Notamacropus eugenii: one gene and its partner. The protein of the gene in region 1 interacts with the protein of each later gene in a pairwise test. Links are inferred from orthologs where the notes say so. Each region holds a gene or a part of one and is shown in the gene's direction. Other genes may lie near its edges. The genes, in order: LRP1 and MAPK8IP1.

Region 1 (14,846 bases):
GGGGGAGCACACAAAGGTTCATACAGTTAATCAAATGATAAAGCAGCACCTATTAGGAGAAAGATCATAACTACCAGTCTTTTTTCATTCACAGATGAGAAGAGTCAGTTCCCTGGCTTGCTCTTAATAGTGATCTTCAGCTGCTCAGGATCACAAGAGGTCACTGCCCACTGCAATGGCTGGCGAACAGGTCTTTTCACTCTGGTATGATGAGTCTTTTTCTCTAGTCCATATGACAGTGTCCCTAGTAAGCAGCACTTGGAATGGCCCTTCCCAGACTGGAGTCAGTTTTTCTTCCATCCACACCTGGATGAGAATCCAATCACCAGACTGGAACTTGTGCATCGGAAACCCCAGTGGAGGAGTTTGAGCAATGATTCCTTTCTTCTATAGAGAAAACAGATAGCTTGCCAAAGACTGCACATATTCTCTGAGAAATTTATCTCTAGTTTCCCACTGAGGAGGCTGGGACAGTGAGGCTGGATAGGGGTGGCCATACAATAATCATAGGGGGATAAACCTATATCTCTGCAGGGTTTGGTTCTAATATGGAGAACAGCTAGTGGCAAACACTTCATCCAGGGGAGTTGGGTTTCCATTATTAACTTAGTAAGCTGTCTATTTCCTGATTCATCCTTTCCACTTTGCCTGATGGGGGGGAAGGGTGCCAAGGAGTGTGCAACTCCCAGGAAATTTCTAGAGCCTTCATCAAAGACTGGAGGACTCGGACACTTAAGTGAGTCCCCTGATCAGAATCAATTCATTCCAATAGCCCATATCGGGGGATAACTTGTTCCAGTAAGACTTTGCTTACTATAGAGGCAGTAGCCTGAGCGAGGGGGGGAAACTTCCACCCAACATGTGAGGTGATCCACTACCACCAGCAAATACTTGAGTCTCCCTATGGTGGGAGGGGCAGGATGGGGGGGGCGGAGAGAGAGCATCTCAGTGAAGTCCAACTGTATGCTCTGAAATGGTCAGATCCCTGGTGGCCTGCCTCCCTGAGGATGGCATCTCTATTCTTATTCATCCATCGACAAATAATACAACCATCAACAGCCTGCCAGGTCAATGTATAGACACTGGGACAAATATATTTGGTCAACACTGTATCACACAGGTTCTGGACATCCCAATGACTACCCTGATGTAGGTGTTGTAGTATCTGCCTCATGCTGGCTTCATTCAGGACCTCTCTCCCATCTAGGAGAAACCACCTCCCCCACTCATCCCACTTGGTTGCTAAATTCTGAGTCTTCTTGGCTTCTTTTTCCAATAGGGATGCTGGCTTTAAGTCCAGCAGGAGTGTTGAGATCAGGTTTAACGTAGGACCAACCACACTCTATCTGAGTTCCCCAGCTCTCTTTGCCTCCTCATCAGCTAAGCAGTTTCCCCTAGCCTCAAAAGAACTTACCATTCACATGCTCCAGAGCCAGGGTTTTGGGCAGGTGTAGCTTTTCCAAAACCTGTTGTAGCAAGATTGTGTGTGTTAACTCCTTTCCTTTACTGCTTATCATGCCCCTCTCCTACCAAATTTTCCCAAAGACATGGGCCACTACCCATGTGTATTTAAAATCTGTATAAATGTTCCCTTCCATACTCTCTAATAATTTCAAAGCTTGACTCAATGCATATAATTCACAGGTTTGTGCAGACCAATGATTAGGGAGTCCACTCTGCTCCACAAAGGTGGTTCTGTCCCCATCAATAATTGCATAGCCATTCCTTCTTTTTCCTTCCACTATTCGAGAGGAGCTATCTTTGAACAAATTTGTAACTCCTGGAATCGGGGATTCCTGTAAGTCCTTACGGGCTTTGATCTGAAAGTCAATTAATTCTATACAGCAGGGTTCTTCAACCCTTGGTTCTGGGTCTAGCCCACCTATCAGGAATGTGGCAGGATTCAGGTTGGCATCACGAGTAAGGACCACGTCATCCTTCTCTATTAGAATCACCTCATATTTAAGGATCCTAGAATCAGTCAACCATCACCCCACCCTCTGGTTTAAGACCTGGTGGGGCACACTGACTACTAGACTTCTCCCGAAGGTCAATTTTCTACTCTCTTCTACCAGAATGGCTGTGGTGGCCACTGCCTGGACACAAGTGGGCCACCCTGTGGCTACTGGGTCTAATATTTTGGAAAGGAAAGGGATGGGGGTACTTCAGGGCATCTTTCAACCTTACAAAGCTATCCTCACTCTCCTGATTCCACATCAGGTTCTTCTTCCAACAAATGTTTATACAGTGTTTTCGTCAATATTGCATAGGAGTCAATCCATAACCTACAATATCCCATTAACCCCAGGAATTTTCACAGTTCTATTTTTGTCCTGGGGAGGCGAATCTGGAGTATCCCTGCCATTGAGTCCAGCTTTTTACTCTCTCCATTGATGAGGCAGCCTAGATATTTCACCTCCCATTCTGCAAACTGCATCTTTTTCTGAGAGACCCCCAAACCTTTAGTGCCTAACAAATTTAAAAGTTGAATTGAGGTCTCACTCACACCTTCTCTCTTGGGCCCTGCTACCAGTAAGTCATCAATATATTGATGGACAATCATTTGTGGAAGGGGTTGGAAATCCTCAAGGATCATTTCTAAGACTTGGCCAAACAAGTTTGGTGACTCCATGTACCCTTGGGGAAGGACACACCACCTCAACTGTTGGTTTGGGCCTGTGTTCTGGTCTTTCCACTCAAAGGCTAACAAACTCCTGCTTCCTTTATCCAGGGGGCAGGCCCAAAAGGCATCCTTCAAGTCTATAACACTAAAACATTTACTCTCAGATGGGATTTTCCCCATAATACTGTAGTGGTCTGGGACTACAGGATAAGACAAGAGGACTATCTTATTGGTTTCTCTAAGATCTTGGACTAAACAGTAAGACCCATCCCTTTTTCTGACCTCAAGAATAAGGGAGTTGTAAGGTAACTGACAGCTCTAACAACCAATCCTTCAATAAACCTTGGATTACCAGTTTATGGTCTTGCTTTCCTTCAAGGGAGATGGGATATTGTCTTACTCTAACTATTGTTCCCAGTATGTTCAGTCTGATCATGATGGGGGAATGTTTACTTTCCAGTGATTTTGAGGTCCTGCCCAAACTTTTGATTCAATCATACCCTTCTCTTAATACTAATACTCTTTGGGGAACAATTTGGGACCTGATGGGATGAGCCAGATGGACATTTGGGTGATCAAGATCCTCCCCCAATAGGTTGACTCCAGCTTTGGGCACAAATAAGAATTTTCCCCAAAATTTAGATCCTAAATACTCAAATTCTAATATTTCAGTAAGGGGACCAGGAAGTTTTCTCCTTTCACTCCAGATATCATCAGTCTCATTGTCAATCTTTGCCCTGGTGGGTAGTTTTACTAGAGAGGATTGGTTGGCACCTGTATCTACTAGAAACATGAATTCCTGCTTTTCTTTGCCCACCCTGAAACTTATCAAGGACTCGGGGTGGGTCTGCTCTGTGAACCCCTGACATCCCTAATCCTCAGTTTCCATGAGAGAAAATTTTCTGTTCTTGCTGGGGACAATTGCTCTTCATGTGTTCCTTCTGATCACAACTGAAACAAATCAATGGGGTGTGAGGTGGGAACCCTCCTCTCTTTGGGACACCTCTGGGTCCCAGAGGACCACACTCTCTCCTCTGCCCTTGTGACCTCATAACTGATTTAACTATGTCTGCATGGTCTGCATCATAATTTTAGTTTGTTCCTCTTGTTGTTTCAAAGCTTGCAACATAATCTTGGTTTGCTTAGCTTTCTCCTCCCTGGTCATATACACCTTCTGAGCAGTTTCTAACAATTCATCTAAAGGTCTAGCCTGCCACCCTTCTATTTTCTGCCATTTCTTGTTGATGTCAGGCCAGGCCCCAGTGACAAAATATACCCTAAGAAGGCTCTGAGCTGTGGGATCAGTTAGTTCTAATACTGAATATTTTCTCATGTGCTCAGTAAGTCTATTCAGGAGGGCTGATGGGGTTTCACCTTTTTCTTGTTTAACCTCAGTTACTTTGTTCATATTCTGACTCTTAGGAATGGCACTTCTTATTTCCTGGACTATCATGCTTCTGAGGTCCCTCATAAGGTCATGGTGGGCAGAGTTATTGTGATCCCAACTGAGATCTTGGAAAGGATACTTCTGCTCTCCTCTTAGCCCTCCCTGGGCCAGTGGATGTGCATCATCCCAAGCCCTCACAGCTGCTCTTCTAATTTGCCCCTGCTCTTCCCCAGTAAAAAGGATGTCCAATATGGCCATTAACTCAGTCCAAGTATAGAGATTAGCGCCCAAGAATTGGTGAAATTGATCTGCAATCCCAGACAGGTTGTCTATAAATGGTTTCATTTCCTTTGTAAAATCTCTAACTTCTGTCCTACTGAGGGGAGCATTCACAAAACCAATTCCCCCTTGAGCTAGAGGAACTTCCCTGAGGGGAAATAGGTTGGTAGTGTTGGGGGTTGGGAGAGGAAAATTCTCCTGCTCTTTTAGTAATTAATTCTCAGCAGAGAGGAGCAAGTGGCTGTGTGGTCACTGCCAGATCAATCAGGTCTCCGCCATCCTCTCTCTGATGGAACAGAAGGGGGAGGAGCTGATACTGGGGGCTGGGCTGGCTGACGGGTGTAAAGAGCGGGGAGGGCAAGGAGAGGATCCCAAGGAGGGGAGGTCTTCGGTTTTTCCTCTTTGTCTTCTGATTTTCCTGTCTCCTTAACCACAAATTGTCCAGCAGATGACAGCCAGAGGGCAGCATACATGCACTCCTCCTCATCCCTAGATTCCTTACTATTCACATACTTATTTAAACTTTGGCAGACCCAATCGTCAGAGGACCCATACTTTGGACAGAAGATGTTTCCTCCAAGCTGAGCACCATCCCAAATTAAACAACAATATTTGATCATCTTTCTCTTATCTTTCCTTTTATATTTTGGCAATTCATCCCAGTTGCTTAGCTAGCTTAGATAGTCCTTAAGGGACTATCTTCTGGTACCTTTTGGAGGGGACTCCCACCACTCAACTTTGACTAAGACTTTACCATGTCTCTTTCAATTTCTGTTTCCAGGCAACAGACTCTCAATTTCTTGTCCAAGATTTCTCAGATTCCTCAATCCTGCAGACTCAACAAGACTAACCTGCAATAGGCTCCCTATTTCTTGCCCAGAGTTTCTCAGACCCCTCAAGAGTTTCTCAGACCCCTCAATCTTACAGACTCAATAGGACTAGTTCTTCCTGTGTTGCCCTATTCGACCACCCTGGGTTTCAAAATCAAAAAGGCTCACCTGGGTCTGTGCACAGACTTACGTGATCAACTGATCCCGAGAGTGTTTCTCATCCCCCTTTCGATCACTTTCTGCTCTCAGCTTCAGTCTTCTTTCAGATCCTTTCCCACCAGAGGAGGGTCACTCCCAAACCTGACTGAGGGCCTCCTACTAAACTTCGGTGGGACCTTCTGCCAGTAGGTCTGGGTTAGAAGGACCCCCTCCTCCTTTGAGGGTATCCCGGACGAGCTCCCAAAACTGTATGGGACAGAGATCACCACCACAATAAAGATCGGAGTCTGAATTGGAGATCAGAGAAGGTCTTTATTCTTTCTCACGAGAAAAGGCACAGCCCTTGTCACTCAATCAGTGGTAGCCAGGGAGTGTGCTCACTGGTGGAGGGAAGCAGATTTTTATAGCCCTAACACAAGTTCCCTATCCCCACTCCTTATCCGCTTCCCCACTGGCAGAGTACTAGGGATGTACAATCTCATCACAACAGCTACTTTCCAATAGAAACAATTATGCCCATATTTAGTGGGGCAAAGCATATGTATACCAGGAAGCAGGGAGAGTCACCACGTGGATTTTGAGGAGGCTATTGAGACTTACGATGGCATGCAGAAACTGAACAAAAGGAGAAAGTCCTTCTAGTCCCCAACCAAGGAAACTCCCACACTATGTCAATATAGGAGGTTAAAAAAAAAAGAGAAAGCAGACAAAGGCAACTAGCTTTCTAGATCAGAATCATGGAAGAAAGGTGGTAGACAGTACACCACAGAGAGAGCCAAGAGAGAAATATTCTGGATAAACAATGCTAAGCTCAATTTTTAAAAGTGCTTTGATTCTTCTCAGTTTCAAAGGTTCAGAAAAGAGTCAATCTCCTCAAATGCTCCTATAGGAATTCTATAGTGGTCCCCATTGGGTGTACAAGACCTTGCTCTCCTGGAGTTTGATGGGGGAAGAGGTTCATAGAATCATATTATATGAGAAGTAGACAGGTCCTCAAAGGTCATCTAGTCCAATCCTGAAGCAAAGATGCTGTATTCATCTTCAACAGGCAGTCAACCAGCTTCTGTTTAAATATAGTTCCATGCAGGCAGGTAGGAAAGCAACAAAAATTTATCAAGCACACAAATAAAACATTATTTGCCAGGTACTGTGCTAAGTGATAAACATACATATACAAGTAAAAAGAAAGATATTCCCTGCCCTCAAGGAGCTTATGGGACCAACACATAAAAGGGAACTTGAAAGTGGAAGAGGGGGAAAGAAAAGAAGGTATGAGAACACTGGAGTCCAGAGAAGAATAAAGCACTTAGCTTTAGGATCCATCTGGGACCTTCCCCAAAATGAAGGCCCAGGAAGGAAACATACCAGGAGGAGAAGAAAGCCATCATGGCATAGGGAAGTTCTGGAGTGAGAAGGTAACCCAAGAACGGGAACAAAATCAGGACAATTAGAAGCACAATCAGGAGGGGAAATTTTAAACTTCTACTAAATGCAAAGTATAGTTGGACATACTGAACCTACAAAGACGAAAATGAAAGTTCCCATCATCAAGGAGCTGGAAGTATATGACATATTCACAGATAGAAAGAAGGAAGAAACAAATGTTTCCTCAGATAGAAAGTGAAAGGACAAAAAATAGCTCCAAGCATGTAAAGATTGTTAGAAAAAGAAGAAGGAGCACTAATGGCTTAAGGAAGATCTGGGAAGGCTTCATGGAGAAAACAGGAACTGAGCCTTAAAGGAGGATAAGGAAAGGCAGAGCTAAGGAAAGACTGAATTTCAGCCCTCGGGGGATGACCTGAGGGAGTGCAGAGGCAGCAGATACCCTTCAAAATCTGAGGAACAGCTAACTGTCCCAGAACTTCAATAATGTGCATAAAAGAGGATAGAGATGTCCCTTTTCATATATTATCTTCTCTTTTTGTTCTTGTAATTTGTACATGAAAATGTTTGTTTGTTCATTACTAAGTTCCTAATTTTGAAAAGAATTTAAAAAAAAAAAAAGGTTGGTGGGCTAGGTTAGAGTCTAATTGTGCACATCCTTAAATACTACCAGACCTTAGTAAAAAAAAACAAATTCAATCTCATCACACTGCGTGACTCTGGGCTAGTGATTTCACCTGTCTACCTCAGTCTCCTCAATTTTAAATTGGCCATAATACTAGCAAATTCTTCTTAAGGTTGTTGTAAAGATCAAACGAAATATGTGTAAGGTGATTAGCACATAGTCACCTGGCCCTTAATAAAATATTTATTTCCTTCCTGTATATTTTAACCTAGAAGTAACAGGGAGCCACTTAAGGTTTTAAGCATGTGTCTTTATGTTGGCATCTGTGAGAAGGATGGACCGGGGAGATGAGACATTTCTAGACTAGGAAACAACGCCATTAATCAATCTATTCTGCTTTTTGGTTATTTCTAACAGTTGGAAAAATTTTCCCCATATCCGACTGCCACTCATTGGTCCTAACTCTTCCCTTTGTATCTGCTGTGCTTTCTTTGCTCAAACATCCAACAACTGGCTTCATAGTTTCAACATCTGGCAGGGCATTCCTCACTCTTTTTCTGGAGGCTCTTCATTACCACTCGACCCTCTCCATAATGTAAGGCGAAAAGACAGACCAGAAGGGGGCAATGGCGAGACGCACATTCCCAAAAGCCCGGAGCTCGAGGGACGTCTATTGCAAAAGACTCGGAACCTGGGACCACGGCTGGGCACTCAGGGATGGAAATCCAGTAAACCTAGAAATCCCAGACCGATCCTCAGAATCTCCCCCCCTCCCACTTGCCAATTACAAACCTTTTTTCTTGTGAATCTAGAACCCAGAGAGTTAGAGCTCTGGTCCCTAGCTTTCATTTCCGAAGTCACCTGGGAGGTGGGAAAAGCCCCAAACACAGACATTTTCAAAACAAAAACAACCACAACAAATGCCTCTGACCTCCCCGGGGGAGGCGGGGGCGCTGCCCGCCCCACCCATCCAGTGACTCACTCCCTTCCAAACAGCTCGCCCCCAAACCTGCCCTGCGCCAAGGAAAGGAGGGGTGGGTGGGCTAAGGGGGACGGGGGCGGGGAGGGACGGGCACTAAGGTGGGCTCTAGTCCTTAACCCAAGGCGAAAGTACAAGTTCAGTCGAGTCCCGGCAAATGTCCCTGTTTACTGGGAAGCCGAGAGCTAGGGAGGTGGGGCGGGGCCTGGGCGGTTCCGGCCCGCCCCCTTTGCCCCGAGAGCCAATCCCCTTCCACTTTTCCCAGAGCCTCCAAATCAATGCTCAACTTCTCCCAGTGCCTTCCCCACTGACTGGCATCTCTTCCCCAGCTCTCTACGGGCCAGGGATTGGGGGGGAGGGAGGGGGGGCGGCGTGTGTATGTGGAAGGGGGGGTTGGAAGAGGAGGACAGGGATAGGGTCAAGCTTACAGAAGGGTACAGGCCCAAGTCCAGAGAGGAGAATCTAGAACCCAGGACGGGGCTGAAATCCTGTAGCCCCACACCCTGCCCATCTATCCCCTCAGCTCTGGAAGACGCAGACGGGAGGTGATGGAGGGGAGGGGGGAGTGACGGCGATCTTAGAGCGAAGTTGGATGTGGGGAAAGAGCGAAGGGGTTTGTAGTCGGGTTCGAATCCCGGCTCTGTGATCAGTTTGATCATTGACAAGTCACAGAAATGTCCGGGCCTCAGTTTCCCCATCCGTAAAGTGACCGAGCTGGAGTGAATGTCCCTTCTAGCTTCAATCCTATGATTCTGTGTCTTGGCCCGCGGGTCCATGGCACCGCCTCTCTGGAACCGCTTTCCAAGCCCCTCGGCCCTGCCACTCCTCCTTCTCCCCCTCTTCTGGAGGGTGAGGGCGAGAACGGCGCGCATGCGCACCAGGACATTTGCCGCGTAGCTAGCTCTCCCCCTCTTTTTTCTCCCCGCCCCTTCCCCCTCCCCGCCCCCTCCCTCTGCTCCCTACCTCCCACTCCCCCCTTCCCTCCCCCCGCCCCCCCCCGCGCCACCTCCATCCCGGGAGCACAGGCGCGAGCTCAGGGCCCTTGCACTGAGGAGGAAAAGAGGGGAACCCTCCAGCTCTTCTAAAGCTGCGAAGGACCCCCCTTCCTAGGCTCCCCCACCCCGTCCACGCCCCCCCATCCCCCCCCGCCTCCTCCCAATTGTGCATTTTTGCAGCCGGAGGCGGCTCCGAGATGGGGCTCTGAGCTAAGCCCTAGGCGAGGGGAGAGCCAAGAGAAGAGGAGGGAGGGGGGACCTCGAGGTGTTCGATTTGGGGGCGCATCCTCCCCGCCAGCCAGCTCCAGCAGAGGGGCCCTTAACTATTGCCTTCTCACTACCCCCCTCCTCCGATCCCAGAGCTCGCTGGGCTTTGCGGAAAGAAAAGACAAAAATAAAGGCGGGGAGGAAAACGGGGGACCCCCATGAAGGGGGGCACAGTCAAGAAGGAGCCCGATTGCGGAGGAGGGGGCTGTTTGCACCGGCCCCGCACCACCATGCTGAGCCCGCTGCTGCTGCTGCCGCTGGCTTTGGCTCTGGCCACAGCGGCGATGGATGGTGAGTGAGAGTCCCCCCACCCTCCCCCCTCCCCCGAGGACGCCCCCTCCCCAGTCCCCACCTCTTACTGCAGAAAGGGGAGGGAGTCGCGGAGTGGGGGGGCCTTTTGTTATCCGGGTCCAGCTGACACAGCAGCGCCCCGGCTGGGGGCTGGGAGCAGGGGTCTGGGTTGGCTGGGGGTGGGGAGCCTGGGTGGAAGATGCTTCCCGGACCCCCCCAGTTCAGACAAAGACTGGCTTGGGGGGCAGACCCGGCGCCCGCTTAGTGCCACCGAAGATGAAGCGAGGCCTATGCTGTCTCTATTTCTAGCGGAGGACGTGTCCCGGCCCCCCCCCCCCCATCCCTATCTGAATTGTGAAGGAATCTGGATTTGCATTAAACATCTGCAAAGGGGGGGGGGAGAACTGCTCGGGCGGGGGTCTGCAGTGCGTTTCTAATGCGTAGAGGGAGAAAGCCAAAGGGGGAAGTGCTTTTCCTTGGTGCCCACATTGGGCAGAGGTGTGAGGAGAGGAAGAGGACTTGTGTACTAAAAGATGGACTGGGCCCTGGAGCAGGGGTGGAGGGAATGGGTTCTAGAAGGACTGGGTTCTAGCCTAGGCCTCCAGGGTTCCACATCTTTCTTTCTACACTCCCCCTTTTGTGGGCCTCTATCTGTAGCCGGGGTTGAGTGGAGCTGTATGGGGATAGAGGTGGGAGGGGTGGGGGGTTATTACGTTACTTCGAGTTTCTCTTCTTAATTTCTGGAGGTTTGGGATGAAACGTCAGACGTCATCAGTGAGGAGAGGGGCTGGGAGTCGGGTTTGGATCACTGAGGTGGGGGCACGGAATGCTTTTCTGGTACCTTCACACTTTGGACTAGGAGAGTTTAGGGATGGGAGGAAGGGGGAGTATGCCGCTGCTGTTTTCTGTTCTGCAACTTAAGTGAATTTGTTTTTAATTTCTCCCCCCCTCCCCCTTCTCCCTTTGCATAATGCAGACATCAGCTCTAGCCGGAACTCTATGTGCTTTAGGGAACTGGGGGTGGCCTCTTGTTCCCTCTCCTTTCCTCCCTTTTGGCAACTTTTCCTATTTAACCCTGAGTCATGGGTTCAAGTCTTGTCTTAAGTCAAGAATAGGGACGGATAGGTTGGGGGTTGGGCTGGGCAGAACTGAGCCCCACTGATTGAGTGTATGTGGGGTGTCTCACCACCCTTTTCCCCCAGGGGGCTCCATACTCTGCCCACAGCAAGAAATGACCCTCCCTCCTCAGGCCCACCACACCTCCACCCCCACTTCCAATCTCCAAAACTTTGCCAAGTTTGGGGTTGGGAAAGTTTTTCTCAGAAATCCAACTGCCCTGTCCCCCTCCCCCTGACCTCAATGGGAATCAAAGACCCTCTTACTTTGGTTAAGAGTGAGGCAGGAGAGGAGAGGAGAAGTTTGGGGAGCAGGGAACCCACATAGAGAGGGGGAATATTCAATGCCCCCTTCCTCAATTATACCATCCTTCAGAACTCTCCTTCTTTGGGCTAGGAGGAAAACAAAAACAGAAATTGCCCAGTTTAGAAGAAGGGAGAATCTCTGCCCTCATCTCTTTCCAAAGCAGCCTATATCTGCCTGCTGTACCCCCCAAATAATTATATTTAACTTTTTTTCCTTCAATGAGGAGGTTTGAATGCTGGGAAGCTGAGGCAGAGGGAATTGGGACACCTGGTTCTGGGAAAGATTAGGAAGAATCAGAAAAGTCAAGACAAGAAGAGGAAAACAATTTGGTTGGGGGTGTTAAGAGGCTGGAGGGGCCACTATGGGGAACACAAAACATCCTGAGATGTGTTCAGGGGCCCAGCTGGAGTTTCACAATGGGATGAGAAAGTGACACAGCTGTTCTGTGTTCAAGGGCTCTAATGCTGGCTTTGGCTACCCGCTCTGGAGCGTTGGGGGGGGGGGGGGGGGGAGAGGAGGTATGTGTTACAGAGACGTTCAACTCTGATCGAAGTTTAGAAACTGTTCTCCCTGACCATTCCTTTTCTCCAATACTGCCCCCTCCTCAAATTCCATTATCTCAGACTGTGCCCAAAAGAATGAGATGAGAGAAGCAGTTGTAATATGGAAGGAGAGGTGAACGAAGTATGATGAAGTCAGCTATGTAACTATGGGCAAATTATTTCACTTTTTCAGACCTCAGTTTCCTCACTTGTAAAATAGTGATAATAACACTTGCACTATCTACCTCACAGGGCTCTTGGGGAAAAAGTGGTTTGTAAACTCTGAAGTGATATATAAATTCACATTGTTATTAGGGGGAAAACTTTTGGATTGTCACCTTAAAAGTCCATGTTGTTTTGGCTCTGTGCCTCAGTTTTCCTCCTTAGACACTTCTTGACATGAGGGTTAGGAGGAGGTTCTCCTCCTCTCTGAATCAACAGAGTAGCTGAGGGAAATGTTGATTGGAGTTCCTCCTCCACCACCCTGTGTTTATTCTATACTGTACCCCATCTCTACCTTCCCCACATTATCTCCCTCTTCTCCTTGTCCACCCCCAGCCCTGAGCCCAGACCATAACTCATCAAGAGCTGTCTTCTAGTACTCCTACCTCCACCTCACGCCTATGTCAAACTGGGGCAGGGAATCGCCATCCCGAACGTACATGTGCCCCTCACTTTTGGGAAATTTTCTTTCATATCTAAACATCTTCTCAGCCTCTACCTTCAGTGGAGATGGAGTCTAATTTCTAGGTCACTGAGCCCTGACCCCTGTCCCCTGAATCATGAGTGGAAGTGTTCAGAAGGTGGTCTCAATGATTTGCTTTTGGGGAATCCTTGAGGTATATGGGAGTGTAGTTGGATAAGGGTTTTTTGACCTAGGTTTTCTCTTGGGGTTATGTCTAAGGTGGGCCTGGGGATGTGCGCGTAGGTTGGGGACAGCTTTTCCTCTCAATCCCTGGCTCTGTAGCCAGGTTTCAGCTCCATCAGCAGGAATCAGCATTGTTTAGAGAAGGAAGCAGTCGGCTCTGGAGTGTTTCCGGAGCCTGTGGCCTGGAGGCACCAAGCGTGAAACCACCCTCTGTGGTGATGGAGGGAGAGTGGGGTTGTGGGGTCATCTGTCCCTTGCCCTGATCCTCTCCCACTCCTGCCCCAATCTAGAGTATCTTTCAGGGAAGATGCCCAGCTTTTAATTTTCCTCTTCTCACCCTTCCAAGTCTTGGAAAGGCCTTGACATGAGTCCTAACTGCTTTCCTTCTCTGTGTAATGGGAATTTATCCCTCATGCTGGTAATCCCAGGGTAAGTGCAGACAGCCGGGAAGGGGACTTAGTCCCCTCAGTCCCATTTCTACACTATTACTTCCTTGATGGTGTCATTTGCTAGGTTCACCCCAGGACAGCTATGTCATTGTCTCTGGCAGCTTACCCTTCGATTGTCGACCCCTCCCTGTCTCTCCTTCACTCCCTCTGTCTCCCCTCCCTGATTCTCCCAGTCTTTCTTTACCTTTTTTCACTGGGTTTGTCTATCTCTTGACATCTCTGTCTCCAATCGCTCCCTAAGTCTGTATCACATGCTCTTCCTTGAGTTGGCCGAGGCAATGAGTTCTTAAGCTTCCAGTGAAAACTGGATGAAAGAAATGTCCCCCCTGCCCTCTTTCCTTTCTGCCCCCCCTCACTTAGAGAGCAGATATTAGAGGGGGAGTCTCAGGGAGTGAGTTTGCCGTATCCCATGGGCAGAGTGGGAGTTAAGGGGCTGAGCATCATGAGGAAGAGAACTTGGACTTCACGGGGAATTTCCCAATAATTAAAGATATCAGGGGAAAGAGTTGGGGAATCCAGTGAGCCTGGGGAATTTGCTTCCTTGCAAAGTATAGGCAGATAGACTTGGGATTGTGAAGGCAGAGGGATAGATGTGATGACCTCTAAGGATAGCTTGGTGGTCTGGGTTTCATTTGTGGGGTCAAAGAAAAATCTTGTGTGTGGGGAGGGGGGTTAAGGGTCAGGCTCATGTCCTGCTGAGTCAATATTGACTCAGGGTGGAGGGGGCCCTCTTCTCCTCCCCCAGCGGTCTGAGCCACCCCATCCATCCATCCTGGCCACAGAGCAGAGGCCCAGACTCAGGAATGACAAAAATGTGTCTGAGCCTCTGGGAGCCTCCAGAGCTGCGGGGTAACACCCAAAATACATTAAATCAAGTAAAAAGCTCTGGGTTTGGGGCTGGGAGGCTCTTCTGTTATCCCCATTTCCAGTTTATCTGAAAGTTCATAGTCCTGTTCACTGTGTCCCCCAGTGCTCCTCCAGTCCCCCACCTTCCTCTCTGCCCTTAAATATATCCTCTGTGGTTCTTTTCCTTAGATGGCCCCGGGAGGAGAAAATTAATCTCTCCCTTTGCCTCTATGTTGCAAAAATAGGAGATCTTTCCTACTTACTGTCCCCAGGTCTCTCTAGCCTTTTGGGAAATCCCCTTACAGACCACTTCCCTCCGCTTTTAAGCTGCTCTTTATTGGTTTAGGGAATGACCAGCACCCCTTTATTCCAAGACTTCACCTTCCCAACTATCTTCCCTAAAGGGAGGCCTTTGCCATCTTTTCCTTCTCCAACTCTTAATCTCTTTCTGTCCTCTCCCCCCCCAACTCCAGTCCCCTTCTCCTTAAAGGTCCCAGACATGGATAGAGGGCTTCAGCCAGAGTCCGAGTGGGACAGGGGGAGTCCATGTTGTGTCTGGCCGAATGCTTCCAGTGGGTCATTCTTAGTGGCCCCAGAGGCCAGGACTGGGCCAAGAGCCCAGGGTGGGGAATAGGAAGAGCAGGGGTGTCAGCTAGCTTTAGCATGGCGGTCACATTCGTCTAGAAGCAAAGCTGAGAACAGACGCCCCTTCTGTGCTGCTGGCTGTATTCTCTCCCTCCCTTCCTCCCTTTCCCTCTCTCTTCTTTCTCCCAGAAGTTTGTTACCCAGCCAGCTGCCCCCCCCCAAACTCTAGCTCCCTCTCCTCCTCCAAATGGAAATAGACCAAAAATCGCCTCTTGTCACTGTTCTACTGGATCCTAGCCTGTCTATGCAGCTGGTC
Region 2 (15,375 bases), on another chromosome or scaffold:
AACGTTTGTCATTTTCCTTTTCTGCCACAGCCAATCTGTGGTGGTGCCTCAGTCAGTGCTGATTTAAAGCATTTCTTCACATGACTGTAGGTGGCGTCAGTTTCTTCCTCTGAAAACTGCCTGTTCATGTCCTTTGACCGTTTATCAGTTGGGGAATGCCTTGTATTCCTCTAAATTTCATATATTTGAGAAATGAGGTCTTTATCAAAGACACTTGCTGTAAAAAATTTTTCCTAGCTTTCCGCTTTCCTTCTTCTGATTTGGCTGCATTGGTTTTGTTTGTGCAAAACCTTTTTGTTTAATATCAGACTTATCCATTTAACATCTCCTAATGCTCCGTGAGAGTTGTCTCAATGGATCGAGTCTCTACCTTGTCCAGTGCATTCTTCATTAGATCACACAGATGCGTTGGCCCTGCGTGAAAGCTGGCAGTCCTTCACAGGAAGGTTGTGCAGATAAAGGCAGAGCTGTCATGGTGTGGGAGAAGCAATTTGAACCCCAATTCGTGCCTCGTGCCAGTTTCAGTGTTCCTTGCCCTTCAGAGCCCTACCCCCAGGTTGGATTAAGCAGACAGTGGAGCTGATGTGTGACAGTGTGGGGTGATGGGGGCCTAGTCACCTGGGCTCTCCTCCATTCTAGGTGAGCTACTTTGCCTCTCTGGCCTCCCCTTGACCTACTCTTTCTTGGAGATAATTCAGGCCTGAACCAGCCAGTTTTTAAGGGCCCTCTCGGCTCTGAGATCTAGAAGTCTGGTATCTAGCTCACAGCTGTGGTCATCCACAGAATGACCTGAAGGGTGGCAGTTTAAATCAGTCTTGTGAGATGATGTGCCCTGAAACCACCAGGTTACAACCTTTTGCAGAGAGGATGCTCACAGCTTCCTCTTTCCTGGGGTAGCTTTCCAGGGGCTCTGCCCATTGAACCAGAGGAACAAGCAATCATTCCAGCTGGTTCCCTGTAATCCCTAAAACTGCTTACTGTCCCCATTCCATTATACTGGGGCTCTTTGCAGATTTTTCTCATTATTTGTCTAATTATTTGCCAGTTGGGGAGAGCAGAAGCACGTGTTTGCCTCCTTCCATCTGCAGAGCAGCCCCATTGAATGCAGTGGGGCCATAAGGAGTCTCCCATGCCATTCCTCCTCCCCATTCTCCAGAGCTTCCAAAAGCAACTTGTCTCCTTGATTTTCTGACTTGTCTCACTACCTGTTGACTTGTTCTTTGACTCCTCCTCCCCCACATGGGATGGGGACCAACAGCGTTAACATTTCATAGCATCTTATGAACAAGACATAACCCTAGCGTGTCAGACTTTCAGGGAATTCTGGTCATAGGTCCTAAAATCCTAGAATTTGGAGCTGGACAGGACCTCAAGGATCCTTCATCCAGCTCCTTCATTTTACAGAGAAGGAAACAGAGGCCCAGAGAGAAGAGACTCAGTCATCTTGGGGGCAGGGCTCCAGTGCCTGCCCGTGTGGTCATTGTATGTGCTGCAGCTTCTGGACCAAGGCTGTCCAGCTCCTTTAGCTACTGGGCCCCCTTCCCAGTCCCCCCAGCTGCAGCAGGCCCAGCGTGGGAGGTGAGCCCACACCAGGGCCTGGGGGAGCTCTGAGTTTCTTGTTTAGGGAACAGGAAGTGCTGTGTATGCACAGTTGTCTAGCCTATGTTGTTTCATCCCATGGTAGGGCAGTCTTAACTCATTTGTGTCCAGTCTCCTGTCTTCCTTATACTAAGGGCAGATTGAAAAGAGCCAATACCTGACAGATGGATGTTTTGGCCTGTGCTTTTTCAGGGGGGTTTTCCCCCCTTGCTTCTTCTCCTGGCTGTGAGATCTCATTGGATTCCCCCTTCCCCATTTTCTGCGACTCCCCCCCTACTGATGACATTGTCCCTCATCTGCTGACAGCATAGGGAGCTGGGGCCTTGTGCCTCAGTCTGTTGCTGAGCTTGACCTTATTCCAGTCCAGCCCCGTGGGTTTCTGTGCAGCTACACTAGGGCAAGGGTTCACAGGAAGCTGAGGAAAGCAGCCTTCTTTCCCCAGGCCAGTTAACTCCAGACTGCGGGAGGTTTTACCTTCACCGAAGCAACCCCATCAGCAAGCAAGACCAGTCACTGACTGGCTTGTGGAGCAAATGTATGTCAGCAACCCTGGTGTGGCTGGCGTGGGGAGCGCTGGGCCAGGTCCTGAGGGAGTGAATCTTCTAGCCTGCCACAGAGCCTCACTGCCTCTGGCCTCTTTTGATTGTCTTCTCTGATCTGGGCCTGTACATCTTGGTACTAGAATCATGGGCCCGCCACCCCTTCCATAGACATCCTATCCTGGCTGCCTCCCATCCACCCTGCTCGCAGCACGGTTACCCCTTCTGAGGATGAGAGTCCCGAAAAGCAGGGTCTTTGTTCCCAGTCCGTAGTGCGGTGTCTGGGACACTGAGCATGTAAATTCTTGTTGATGTACTGATGGTCACATACATACCTATATATTAAACCCATAGAAGGTGTTTGCATGAAATGGAAACCTGTAGTTACTGCTAATGTAGCTGTTTATCACTTTTCACTCTACAGTGGTGATGTCATCTTGGTCACCTTCGAAAATGAAGGACAGCCACCAGTTATTTATCATGAACCTTAGGATCTAGCACGTAGGTTAAGGAAGCACATTTTCCCAAATGTGCACATTGTGAGGGCTGCGTGTCACCACAGGCACAGATCTGCCGCTGTCCCAGCCGCCTTGCCATCCTGCCCCCTGCCAGACCAGTAATTACCCAGATAAATTTAAGCTTATGTAGCTGTTTGAAATCTCCTTATGTTAGGGATTTCGCCTTGAGTTACAGCCTCCATACCTTTGTGTCTCAGTCACATTATTTTGTGAAGAATGTTTGAAACCACCCCCGCCCCCATGGTTTGAGTGCTGTGCCCTTCAGACCCAGTGCCACCCTTTTCATTGTCTTCTTTCCACTAGTGTGATCACTAACACCCGTCAGCAGTCTTTTCTCACAGCACTCTGGTTGGGTTCATTGCTGTCTACTAGGAGCTCTCTGTAAGTGAGGAGTTTGACTCATGTCTCACTTTTCACTCACTACAAGAGAGGAGACTCGTTCTGCTTGGCCCCCAAAGGAATCGATGCAGGGAAAGTTCTAACAGTTAGAGTTGACAGAGGATGGATGTGCTGCTTTCACAGGTAGTGAGTTCCCCATCATGAGAGGTGTTCAAATACAGGCTAGTACCTGCCTTTTGGGGATGGCGTAGAAGGGATTCCTTTGAAGGTACAAGTTAGAGAACTGGAGCTGGCCCGAGGTAGCTGTCCCAGCGACTGACACCCCATCCCTCCACCCTGCTCCCGAGGGTATTCATCCCCTTTCACCCTCTCCCCCCGCTCCTCTGCCTTCCTGCCAGGGGCTGTGCCCACATGTTGTCCACCTCCATGCCTCCATGGGAAATTCCACTCTGGCTCTCCCCCATGACAACTAGTTCTCCCTCCCTTCTGTGTTGCTGTGGATCAGAAACAAGAACCTCATCTGGACCTCAGGCTCTGCCTCCTTTGCTCCCCTCAGCCTTGAACAGGATGACCCAGAGCTTCCTCCCAGGCCTCATCCCTGTGCCTCTATGCTCTTCCTCTCACCCTCCTGACCCTTTCTGTGCTCAGCAAATCCTGATTCTCTCCTCGTGTCCAGTCTGTTGACCTTCCCTTCAGGGACAGGCTGCTCCTTCCCTCACACCCTTAAGCATTCATTGGCCACCTGCCACCATCCTGCCAGGCACCATCCTAAGCACTGAGACAAGGAGCCTGCCTTCACCTTGTTGAGTCTCCATACCATGTTCTGACCCTACCTGTGCCACCATTCGGCACCTGCTTCTCCCCTTCCTAGCCCACTCCAGCCTGCTGCTGTCTTCATGCCCAGCCACCCCTGCCCCTAAATGGTCCCCAGCTTTCTTAGATTCCTCAGCCTTCTCAATCCTGTGCCCTGTGCCTTCAGGATCCCACCGCCTTACACTTACACATGGACCTGTGCATATGACTGACTGTTCCATGTGACAACACTGCCTGTATAGATAGGCCCTGACTTTCATGGAGAGTTGTTTTAAATTGGATTCCCTCACTGTCAGCGTCCTCCTCCCTCTACTCCCAACCAAGGGATATCTTCATTTTCCCCGAGCTCGTCCTCTTGCTCCCCTTCCCACCCTGGCCTGGGCTCTCTTAACTGGCCATGAGCCCATTCAGTTCCTTCCCATTACAAGTTACTGGTTCAGAGGGCCCCCTCAGTCAGCTCCAGTACCTTTGTGTAGAGACCCGGCCCTGAACAGTCATTCTCTCCTGGCCTTGTCCTTGGAGTGCCTTATACATTTGGAGCTCTGGCTATTACCAGTGATTTATCCTCAGTAGGGTGAAATTCCCCTGCATTTCATCACAGCAGGGCCTGTGCATTCTCCAAGATAGAGAGCACTGCCCTGAACAGGAGCCCCCACATCCACCATCCCCCTGACCCTGACTGCTGGACCCCAGGCTGGTCATCATGGGGAGTGGGACAGCGGGGACGAGCAGGGAGGAGCGAGTGTGCTCCTGTGGTTCAAGATGTCGGCTGACTGCTGCTTTTGGATGTTTCTCCTTCCAGCAGCAGAGCTGAGCAGCTGCAGAAAGAAGGGCGCAGCATGGCCACAATGCCAGCAGACCACGGACTGCAGGGAAAGCAAGTCCCCTGCGAAGAGAATGTGTGTGCCTGTGTGTGCCCGTGTGTGCCCGCATATGGGAAGGAGGGGCGTTACGTGATGTGCAGTTGGGAGGTGGCAGCCTCCACTCCTGGAGACACCCTTGTACCCTTGAGGCCACTCGCACCCTGGACTCTCCAGCCCCCCCACAAGCCCAGAGGTTGGGCCCCAGCAGGGGCCTCCAGAGCAGGTGACCTTGCCCTCTCTTCTCCTTCTATCAGGGCAGTGGGACCATGAAGCTGTAGCTGAAGCAGCAGGGCTGGATGCTGGCCAGGCCCTGCCTCTGCCCAGACCCCAGCTCTCCAGTGCCAGGCTTTGCTGCCTTGTGTTAGAGTCTGAGCATCTTCTAGATTAGGGGCATCTGAAACTTTTTCCTCCTCAGAGAGCAGGACTAAGCATTCTGATGGCATGGCATCATGCAAGGGGCTATTGGAAGACCCCTCTTGGGAACCTGCCACAGCCCACTCTGCCTTGCCCTGCTCCCTGCACACTCATTGCCTCAGGTCAGGTGCAGAAGTTAAACTGTTAGAAACAGAGGCTGCTCATGGTATCTTAGCTTAAAGGGGTACTGGGTCTCAGAGAATAGAAATCTCCTTCTATCAGCAGCAGATTGAATGCTTAGTGGAGTTCTTATAGTGGCACCTGCCCTTCTCCCACCCACGACACCCACTGAGGAAGGGCTGCCAGCCCAGCCGCAGGGAGTCGTCCTCTGCTGCTTTGGACACCAAGGCCTGGCAACTGGTCAGTGTTCTGGGACAACTAGGAGAAATCAGCTGAGGGGAGGCCCAGATTCCAGGAGTGTCCAGTGGCCTCCTTCTTTCATCATTGCCCATCCCACCCTCCCCGCCTCCTCATCCTTCCATACAGGGATGAAGGCCTGCCTTGCACTGCGCTAGAAACCATCATGAAACGGAACTTGGAGTAGACCGAAGTAAAATGTAACCACCTAGAGAAGTCTTCCTCCCCGCCCCCAGCCTCTCATGGGGCTGCAGAAAGTCTGTGGGGGGGGGACACATGTATGTATGTATGTATGTGTGCACGTGTGTGTGTGTGTGTGTGTGTGTGTTTGCTGGGCCAAGGGCCTCCAGTAGCCTCCTTGGCTTCATGCACTGCCCCCTCCTGACCTTCCCCCACAGCTTTGGGCCTCCTTTCTGCCCTCACCCTTCAGCTGTTACCTTGCTCATTTCCTCTAGAAATGCCCTTTGTCTGTCCCAGAGTGGGTCGTAAGAGTAGGGAGCAGTGGGAAGTGGGGTTCAGTAGAACGGGGCCCTAAGCTCTCTGCTGACAGGACACAGACCAGCCTGATGGTGTGTGGACCATGGCAAATGTGCAAGAAGATGGGTCCTCAGAGTGGGAGTCGAGGTCCCTCCCCATCTCATTCAAAGATTGTACTCCCCCCAAAGAAGAAAGCAAAACCTCCAGTTCCTCTACCCCACCCTCTCCTTAATTTATTGGTGGTTGTAGCTTGTCCCCAGTCTGACCAGTAGATGGAGCAGGATGAGCCTTCTCCAGGCTTGGATTAGCCCTCCTTCCTCTCTACCTTAGACTTGCCTCTGGGGCCCACTGCCCCAAGCTTTTCCCCAGCTCATTCCTAAGGGAACCATGGGGACTGATGGCAATGGGCCCAGTGCCCTTTGCACAGAGACTTCTGTGTTTGAAAGGTATGGTGTTTTTCCCGTGGTCTGCCTGTAAAATATATCTTTGTTTTATAAACGTCTGACCTTGCCTGTGCTGTGCCTGTCCCATCTGTTCTAGCAGCCGCCAAGAGTGGGGGTGGGCAAGGCTGCCACTACTCTGATGGAGAAGGTTGTTCTCCAGACTCTAAATTGTGGGAAGGCAAATCCTGCTTAACTGCAAGCCTGAATCCAGGGTGGGATACTTTAGTAGAGCCATAGCACCCTCAAGGGAAGAGAAAAGGGGTCGCTGGAATCCATGGCTTCTTCTGGAGTCTGAGAACCTTGAATTCAGCATCCCCACGGGGAGTGGTGGGGTCTTGGCATGCTTCTGTACTAGCCTTTGGCCCGGTATGAATATTGCTGCAGCCTTGTTGATACACCTGCTGGGAAACTTTATCAGGAAAAGTTTGTTCAGCACCTGCCTGAGGAGCCTCAGTCACTGTTATAGGATGGCATGCTTCTGGTCTTGGTCCAGTGGTGCCATGGCACAGTGCTCTGGCAACCCAGCCTTCAACTTTCTAGTCACTGTGATAAGTTGGGTTGGCCAAACCCTGGCCCTTAGATGCCAGGCATAGCCCAGTGGGGATGATGGTGTCCTTCCCCCACTCTTGGCATTGATTTTGAGCAATGGCGCTTTCTAAACTAACCTTGGGCTAGCTTTCCTTTGATCTGTGTCTCATCTGGATTCTAGAGCATAAAGTCCAGTTTAAGCCCTAAATGGGTGGGGGATAGAGCCCAGAAGGAAGGAAATCCTTACCTCCCTATTTCATCCAAAAGGCCTCACAGGGTCCAGATTCCAGGATACCCATACATCCAGAAATAATCATTGGCATGCGTGAATCCCACTACAGAGGCTGAGAAGGCCCATAGGAGGCGGGCCTGATTTTCTAGCAGCAATGCCATGAAAAGGGCCTCTCCTAAGCCTTCAGGATGAGAGGAGTGGGCCACCCAAGGAGTTGGATCCTATGGATATTCCCTGCAGATGCTTTCAGTCTGACTGTTCTTAGCAGTGTTACATCCGAGGAGCAGGTATCTGTGGGGATTTGTGCCAAGCAACCAACTCAACAAATGTTTATTAAGCACCAATTATTACATACCAGGGACTAAGCAAGGCCTTCATAGTCTAAAGTAGGATATCGGCTTTGTGCCTAAGGAGCTCCCAGAGCCCACAGTCAGAGGGTAGAAAGGACAAGAACCCAAACGACAAGGATAAAGGACAAGGTCAGCATCAACTGGAGAGCTCTGCAGAGGAAAAGGTGTCACTTGAGTTAGCCTTAGCCAACAGTCCATTCTGGGTATGAGACCATGAGCAGAAGCACAGACACCTGAGGGGTCAGTGTAGATGGAGACTGAAGGGATGCAAAGTGGGCTAAGGCCAAAAAGCAGCTCGGGGAGGACTTTGAATGCTGGAATCGGGAGTTTGCACATCGAGTAGGCAATGGGGATCCTAACAGACACCAGAAGGAAGGGATGAGGTTACAACATTCAAGTCCTACAGAATTCCTAGGTTTAGGAGTGGAAGGAATCTCTCTTGGTCCAGCCTTCTCACTTTACTAAGGCCCCAAAAGATGTAGTTATGTGCCTAGGACCATAGAAACAGGTGGCAAAGACAAGATTTGAAACCAGATCTGACTTCAAGTTCAGCATTTATTCTATTAGCAGAAACCTATTCGGGTGGAATTCTGGGGAAGGTGCTTTCTGGGGCCAGACTTCTCAGGAGAAAGCAGGACGCTGTTCTGGGGCACATGGGGGTATGGAGGTGTGGATGCTGAGATGACAAAGAGATCCAAAGATACAATCCAACCTGTGGGGTTGGAGCCTGGTACAGGCTTCAGGGGCTCTGCTCTTTGCCAACACCCACAGCAATAAGCTGGCTTGTTAGATGAATTTCCATAGGAAGCTCATCAAGGGGATGTTAGGAGCTCCAAGGGCCCAAACAGCATAGGCACCAGTCCCTGGAGAGGGAAGAACCAAAGTAGGTATACTGGGAAGGAGCTACTCAGCCAAGGCTTTGTGTCAGTGGGGGGAAAAGGGGGGAAAATATAACTCAGAAAAAATCCCAAACGGCTAAGAGGTAGGAGAACCCGAGAGAGAAATGAAACTCAGAAGATCATGAAATTAATGGGTTGGTATTCAGGAGGCAGACCCTGTGCCCTGGCAGAGAAGACAGTGTGTTAGCCTAGAGAAGAGCCCTTTACAAGGAGCAAATGCTATCAAGGTGCTGAGAGAGAGTCGGTGAGGTGAGAAAATCAGACATTGCTGACAGCCTTGGGGGTGGGGAAGTCAGAGGAGGCTCGGATTAGGAAAGAGAGGATACAGTGTCTCTAGTCTGGGACTGATCTGGGGCTAGGAGGTGGGAAAGGGTCAGGGCTGGGAAGGGGACTTCAGAGGCCCAGAAAACACTCTGGGGGAGGGGGGGCAAGAGGAAGCTTGATGCAGGGGAGAGAGCATTGTCCTTGGAATCAACTCAGCCTTCCCACCCCTTAAACTGTGGGGCCTTGCAAGTTGTACCAGCCCACATTTCTCTGTAAAGTGGGGTTGGACTTGATTTCTATGGTCCTTTCTAGCCTTTAACACTCAAGCCTATAGTAGAGTCCAGATTTCTGGGACCAAATATTATCCAAGGTATTTGAGGAAGAAATGGGTCCGAGTGGGAAGACATGAATCTGGATGACCTTTGCCCTGCCTCCCCTCCTTTTCTCATTTTCTCTGTACAGCTTCCAAAGTGAAGGAATCTTAGAGAAGGTGTAGTCTAATCCCTTCATTTTATATATTATGAAACTGAGGCCCAGACCGAGAAAGGGACCTGTCTCGGGTCCCATGGAGAGTGAGAGGCAGAGACGAGGTTCCAGACCTGGGGCTATTTCCATTCCATCTGAGATCCAGTGGTAGGAGACTGTGCAGGTCCCGCATAAACAACAGGCTTTTAAATCTCAGTAATTCTGCATTCCCCCCCCCCCCCCCCCCCCCCCCCCCCCAGGGATGGGAATAATCTCTGAGATATTCTGAGGTTTGACAACTCCAAAATACGGTGGACAAGGTGGGGGTGGAGAATGGCAGGTAACCAGGGAATGGGAGGCTTCAGCACCTTGGAGAGCGGCGGCGGGGGCGCTACCCCGCGCTATTGGAGGAAGCAGGAGTGCCGAGGAGGAGAGGAGAGAGTTTCCCCTCTAGGTCCCTCGGTGTCCCTGCCACCCGGCCAGTTCCAACGCCGCGACCCTCTCCAGCCCCTGCTTTCACCAAGTCCCCGGCTGCCCTAAGTTCACCCAGCGCTGCCTGGTAGCGGATGCCCAGCCCCCAGACTCGGGAGCCGAGCCCTCCGCAGGTGCGTCCCGCCCCTTTCTCCTCCTCCTCCTCCCCTCCGGGAGCCTGATGGCTACAGCAGCAGCTTCTCCGCCCTTCCTTCCTCCCCCTCCCTCTCTTCCTCTCTCTCTCTTCCCCTCCCTTTCCTCCTCCCCCTCTCCCTCCTCCTCCTCCTCTCCCTCTTCCCCCTCTCCCTCCTCCTTCTCCTCCTCTCTCTCCTCCTCTCCCTTCTCCCCCTCTCTCTCCTCCTCCCCCTCCTCTTCCTCCTCTTCCTCCTCCTTCTCCTCTTCCTCCTCCGCCTTCTTTCCCTTCTCCTCCTCCTCCTCTCTGGCTCGCTCCGCCCGCCCGGATGGACTGGGCTGCGCCGGGAGAATGGCGGAGCGAGAGAGCGGCGGGCGCGCCGGGGGCGGGGGCGCCGCGTCCACGCCTGGGGCCTCCCCGTTCCTGGGGCTGCATATCGTGTCGCCTCCCAATTTCAGGTGAGAAGCGCTAGGGGCCCAGGGCGCGCATCCCCGCCATGCACTCTCCGCTGCTCGCCCTACCCCGGGGTAACTAGGGATCCCCTTCTCCCTTACCCAGGGCAGCGGCCTCTCCCCCCACCCCAGGAGCAAGTCCTTTCCGCCTTGGGGCTGGACTGGAAGGGGCGAGGGTGGGTATTCGGGTAGAGAGGCTGGGGCACCGAGGAGGAGGAAGGGGACTCCGGATGCCATTTCCCAGACTGTCTCTGGGTCCTCCTTCCTCTCCGCCAGAATTGGAGGTGGGGTCAGTGGGCGGGGGTCTTCTACCGTGGTGGGGAGGTTCTGGGCCTGCGACCCAGATCGCCAGCTCACATGAAGGTCGGCTATCCCTTGGTTGGTGGTGTCAGGAGTTCCAAGGTGGCAAATGCCTCCCCAACCCAAAGAAAAAGCTCTGGGCGGGTGGTTGGCCCTTAGAATGAAGGGGCCTCAGAGCCACGTGTCCTTGTCTCTCCCCCACCACCACTATGGGGAAGATGAGGTCTGTGCTAGGCAAAGCTGGCCTCCGTCTGACCGTATATGAGGTGAAGGAAGATTAACCTAGACATCCTGGGGGGTGGGGACATTGAATCTGGAGTAAGAAAATCCAGGCTTCAACTCAGCTCTGCTCTTTCATTGTGTGTGGCCGTGGGTAAGTCACTCCCCCTGAGTCTCAGCTTCCTCATCAATCTAAGGGACTGGACCAAATGATCTCTAAGATACCTTTCAGTTCTAAATCTTAGGAGCCTATAATGATGGGAGGGCCCCAGGAGAGTAGGGAGAGCGCCCTAGATATAATCTCCCTGAGTGATCTCTGAGGTACCCGGAGGCCTGACAACTTCCCCAAATGGGTCTGACCGAGTGGGAGCTCGGATGGCGGGAGATCGAGTAAAAAGAGGTTTGAGCACCTTGGAGAGAGACAGAGGTTCTTTGAACCACTTTCTCCCCAGCCGCTCTGTGAGAAAGAAAGAGAGGTCAGGGTAGCCTCTGGACCCCCTTTGCACCACCAGTCTCTATCCTAGCTCTTCCCGACTGGACCCAGACCTAGGGAATCTCTCCTACTTGGGCCGAGCTCGGTCCCTTAGCAGACATTTCACCTGGGGAGGATAGCCAAAGGAAGAGGAAGGAGGAGAGAGAAGGCTATTTTCTCTGTCTCCTCTACCCCCATCATTGACAGCTCCAAGCAATCCTGGGAAGGTGGTTCAGGATCAGAAGGGTCAAGTTGTTTTCAGAGGGTTTTTTGGGTTTTTTTGCTCAGCCTGGACTGGGTCTGGAAGATTCTTATAAAAGACCCTTATGTCTGGAACTTCTTTCCTTCTTTGACCTGCCCTGGAACAGACCCTGGAACATATAGGGTATAGGTCAAGGGGGGAACGGGGAGTAGGAAGCGTATGTGTGTTCAGATAAGTGGGAGGTGTGAATTCCAGTCACTGAATAATGTCATTCCTCCACCACCACCACTCTGCCCCCAACCCCAACCTCAGGAGTTTTATGAGAGTGAGCAGCACGTCTTCAAAGTGCTTGGAGATCCTTGGAGAAAGGTTCAAATAAACATCATTGTTCTTTCTCCTGCTAATAATCCTTCCCTTCTCCCTGGACACTAGCTCCCCCCACCCCCGCCTGGCAGTCTGATCCCAGCTGGGGCCCAGTGCCTGAAGGTTCCTGTGTCTGTGTCTGTCTCCTCCTGCTAGCACATGTCAGAGACTGAAGGCCCCCAGGAGGGTCACTAATGGTGCCTTCCAGCCACAGGGGCCCTTGAGACTTCCAGTCTGGAGAAGGGAATGGGAGTGGAGAGGAGCACCTGAGCCACAGTGGCAGTCTCATTGCTAATGAGACTGAGGTCATGGAGTGGATCCCTGTAGGGTCCCCAGATAGTATCCCCGACCTGGAGGCCTGGGATAAAGACTGTGGAGGGCTCTGTGGAGCCCATCTGCACAGAAGGAAGTGGGGTGCAGACAGCTGTGTGTGAGGACAATGATCTACCAAGTTCCAAGGCAGAAGATTCTTGCTTCAAGGCATCAGCCACACTTTGTACTTAAGCTGTTCCCTGCCCTTTCCCCTCCACCATCCCTTTGCTCTCACTTCCCAAATCCTCTCAACTTCTTTCTCCCTGACCCTCTCCCTCCCCCATCCTTATCCCTACAGTAGCTGTGACACCAGGCTCTTCACAGTCAATAGAGTATTTCTTTCACAGCTCTGTGAACTAGGAGGAGCAAGTATTGTCACCCCAATTTTCACTTGAGGAAATTGAGACACAATTAAGATTTCATGGCATTGTGGTGTAGATCTGGGTTAGGAGCCCCAAGTTCAAATTCCAGCTCAACCAATTACTGATATCACCTTGGACAAATGGCTCCTCTGAGCCTTAGTTTCCTCATCTGTAAAATAAGAATAATACTTGCATCTGTTCCGTAACGAATAGACTCCTATAAATCAATAGAAATAAGTTGTTCCTTTAAATGACTTGCCCACAGTTACAGAGTTGGTAAGTGGCAGGTTAGATTTTGAATCCAAATATCCTGACACTAAATTAATTTCTCTTTTCATAGCTACTTATAAACTTATTAGATAATGTCAGGGCATTAGAAAATTGGAAGGCACTAGAACAATTATCTGGTTTAACCCTCTCATTTTACAGATGGGGAAACAAAGGCTAATTGACTTGCCCAAAGCTGCATAGCAAGTTAGTGAAAGACAGCCTAGACTTTCCCAGGGGTCACTGGTCCAACATCCATGCCATAGCCAGGGTTGGGGAGGGAAGAGGAGAAGAGAGAAAGTCATTATGAGGGGGCCTGGGTGTAAGGATCAGGAGAAAGAATGAGAGTGAGAGGGTTGAAGAAGAACCTTTTCCCAGAGAGGTAGGAAAGCACCTGCTGCCCCAAGACCATTGCTCCCTTCCTCTTAAAACAATGGAAGACAGAATAGAGAGGATTTTCCTATTTCAAAGACAGAGAGCTCTAGAGACCCAGAATTGGGGAGAGAGACCCCTACAAAGATCAGACAATTCCTGAAGGTGCTATGGAGGAGGGGAAATGGGAATTGGAGCCCAATAGAAAGAAGGGCAAAAAAGGCCTCTAAAAGAGAAAATAGGAAGGCAGTCCATCAATGGGCATTTATAAAGATCTCACTATGTGCCAGGCATGGGTGATACAAAGAATAGCAAAAAACACGGTCCCTCCTCTGAAGAAGCAGACATGTAAACAACTTGGTACAGACAAGATATAGACAGTGGAAGAGATGCTCTAAGATAGAGATAGAGGCAGACAGACAAAATCAGAGAAAGAGGGGAGAGAGAGAGACATAGAGAGAGGGAGAGACAGAGAGAGAGAGAGACAGAAAGAAACAGAGAGACAGAGAGAGAGAGAGATAAGAGAGAGAGAGAGACAGAGAGGGAGAGAGAGAGAGAGTCAAAAGGTAATTTGCAACTGGAAAGCATTTCTAGCTGGGAGGACTGGGAGAGGGTTACTGCAGAAGGTAAGATTTGTACTGAGTCTTGAAGGAAGCCAGGGATGCTAGATAGAGCTGAGGAGGGAAAACATTTCAGTGAAAAGGCATAGATATGTGTGATAATGAAATGATGTGTTTAGGGAATTACAAGTAGGTCAGTATCATGGATTGTAGAATGTGTATGTGGAAAACTAGAAGAAGGCTGGAAAGATAGGTGGGGACCAAGTTATGAAAGGCACTAAGTGATAGATCTTGTGTTTGATCCGGGAGAACATAGGGAGCCTTTGAAATTTATTAAGTGGGGAGGGGTGGCATGGTCAGACCTGTGCTTTAGAAACGTCATCTTGGTAGCTGAATGGACAATGGATTGTGGTGGGGGAGAAACTGGAGGCAGGCAGACCTATTAGAGGCTATTAGACCAAGAAAAATGTGGTGACGGCCTGAACTTAGGAGGGGACTATGTGAGTGGAGAGAAGGTGACATATGTGAGATGCTGCTTAGGTTGGAGAAACATGGGGAGATAGTGAGGAACTAAGGATGATGCTGAGGTTGTGAGCTTGGATGATTGGGGTGCCCTCCAGAGTAGCAGGGAAGTGTGGTGGGCTACTGGTGTAGAATAAGGTATGCATTATCAGAGCGATCAGTGGATTATTTTATCTCATTGTAATTCTTTGTTCTCATGGTGGCTGGTACTGGGAAATGGTAACAATTTTTCATAAAAATCAATTAAAAATATGTGTATATTCAGTTGTTTTACAGTTGTGTCCAGTTCTTTATGATCCTATTTGGGGTTTTCTTGACAAAGATACTAGAGGGTTAGCCATTTCCTTCTCCAGTTCATTTTACAGATGAGGAAACTGAGGCAAACAGGGTTAAATGACTTGCCCAAGGTCACACAACTGGGAAGCATCTGAGAGCAGATTTGAACTCGTCTTCCTGACTCTAGGCTGAGAGCTTTATCCACTGCACCACCTAGCTGCCCTTTTTAATATGACTTTTTCATAAATACACATTTTTAATGTCAGGAATCTCTGCTCCCAATGACCCACAGGCACTTTTTGGGGGGCAAATTGCACTGAGATAGAATATGGGGTAATGGATCCAGCCCTGACCTCAGAGCCCGCTGAACCATGTTTGGGTTTCACCTCTGACGTGTCCTGAACTTTCGAGGTCCCAGGCAACTGCCTATCATTATGAGTGAGTGACCAGTCTGTTGGTGATCTGCATTGGTAGAGGCAGTTACTCCACTGGGAGCTCCCATGCCAATGAATCCCCAGACCTCTTTGTTCCCACCCACCACCTACCCCCATTCAAGGGCTACCTCTGGGCTCCTATTCATGGCTGAAGTTGCACTAACAGTGTGAGCTTATCTTGGGTGCCTCCCCCTCTCTTTCTGTTTCCCTGCTCTGTTATGGTGCTATCTCCCTAGCCTCCACCTCTGGGAGCTAAGGAACTTAGGTTCCCTCCTGCGAGAAACAACTCTCATAGAAGGCAACCTCTCAGCGGAATAAACACCATCTTTGGAGTCAAAGGAGCTAACTCTGCTATTTAAAACTTGGGACAAGTCCTTACATGACTTGGGAAAATTCTCTAATTTCTGTGGGCCTTGGTTTCTTCATCTATAAAATGAGGAGTTTGGTTCAGTTTAAAGTATCCCACTTACCACAACAAGCTGGAGGCTTCCAGAGTGGGTAGCTAGGAGAGTGGGTGGGATGGAGACTCTGACATGTGCATCATTATTTTTTTAATTT

The links.
Region 2: the proteins of LRP1 (region 1) and MAPK8IP1 interact in a two-hybrid assay, tested with the Homo sapiens proteins (2 studies listed by BioGRID). The link is inferred for Notamacropus eugenii from reciprocal best matches to the Homo sapiens genes LRP1 and MAPK8IP1.

Annotation. Positions count from the first base shown.
Region 1 is NC_092874.1:232,520,172-232,535,017, forward strand, and holds the start of LRP1 (prolow-density lipoprotein receptor-related protein 1), read left to right. Parts: upstream 1-9,261; 5' UTR 9,262-9,685; coding exon 9,686-9,818; intron 9,819-14,846. UniProt on the Homo sapiens protein: Endocytic receptor involved in endocytosis and in phagocytosis of apoptotic cells. Required for early embryonic development. Involved in cellular lipid homeostasis.
Region 2 is NC_092877.1:4,981,288-4,996,662, reverse strand, and holds the start of MAPK8IP1 (C-Jun-amino-terminal kinase-interacting protein 1), read left to right. Parts: upstream 1-9,892; 5' UTR 9,893-10,055; coding exon 10,056-10,162; intron 10,163-15,375. UniProt on the Homo sapiens protein: The JNK-interacting protein (JIP) group of scaffold proteins selectively mediates JNK signaling by aggregating specific components of the MAPK cascade to form a functional JNK signaling module. Required for JNK activation in response to excitotoxic stress.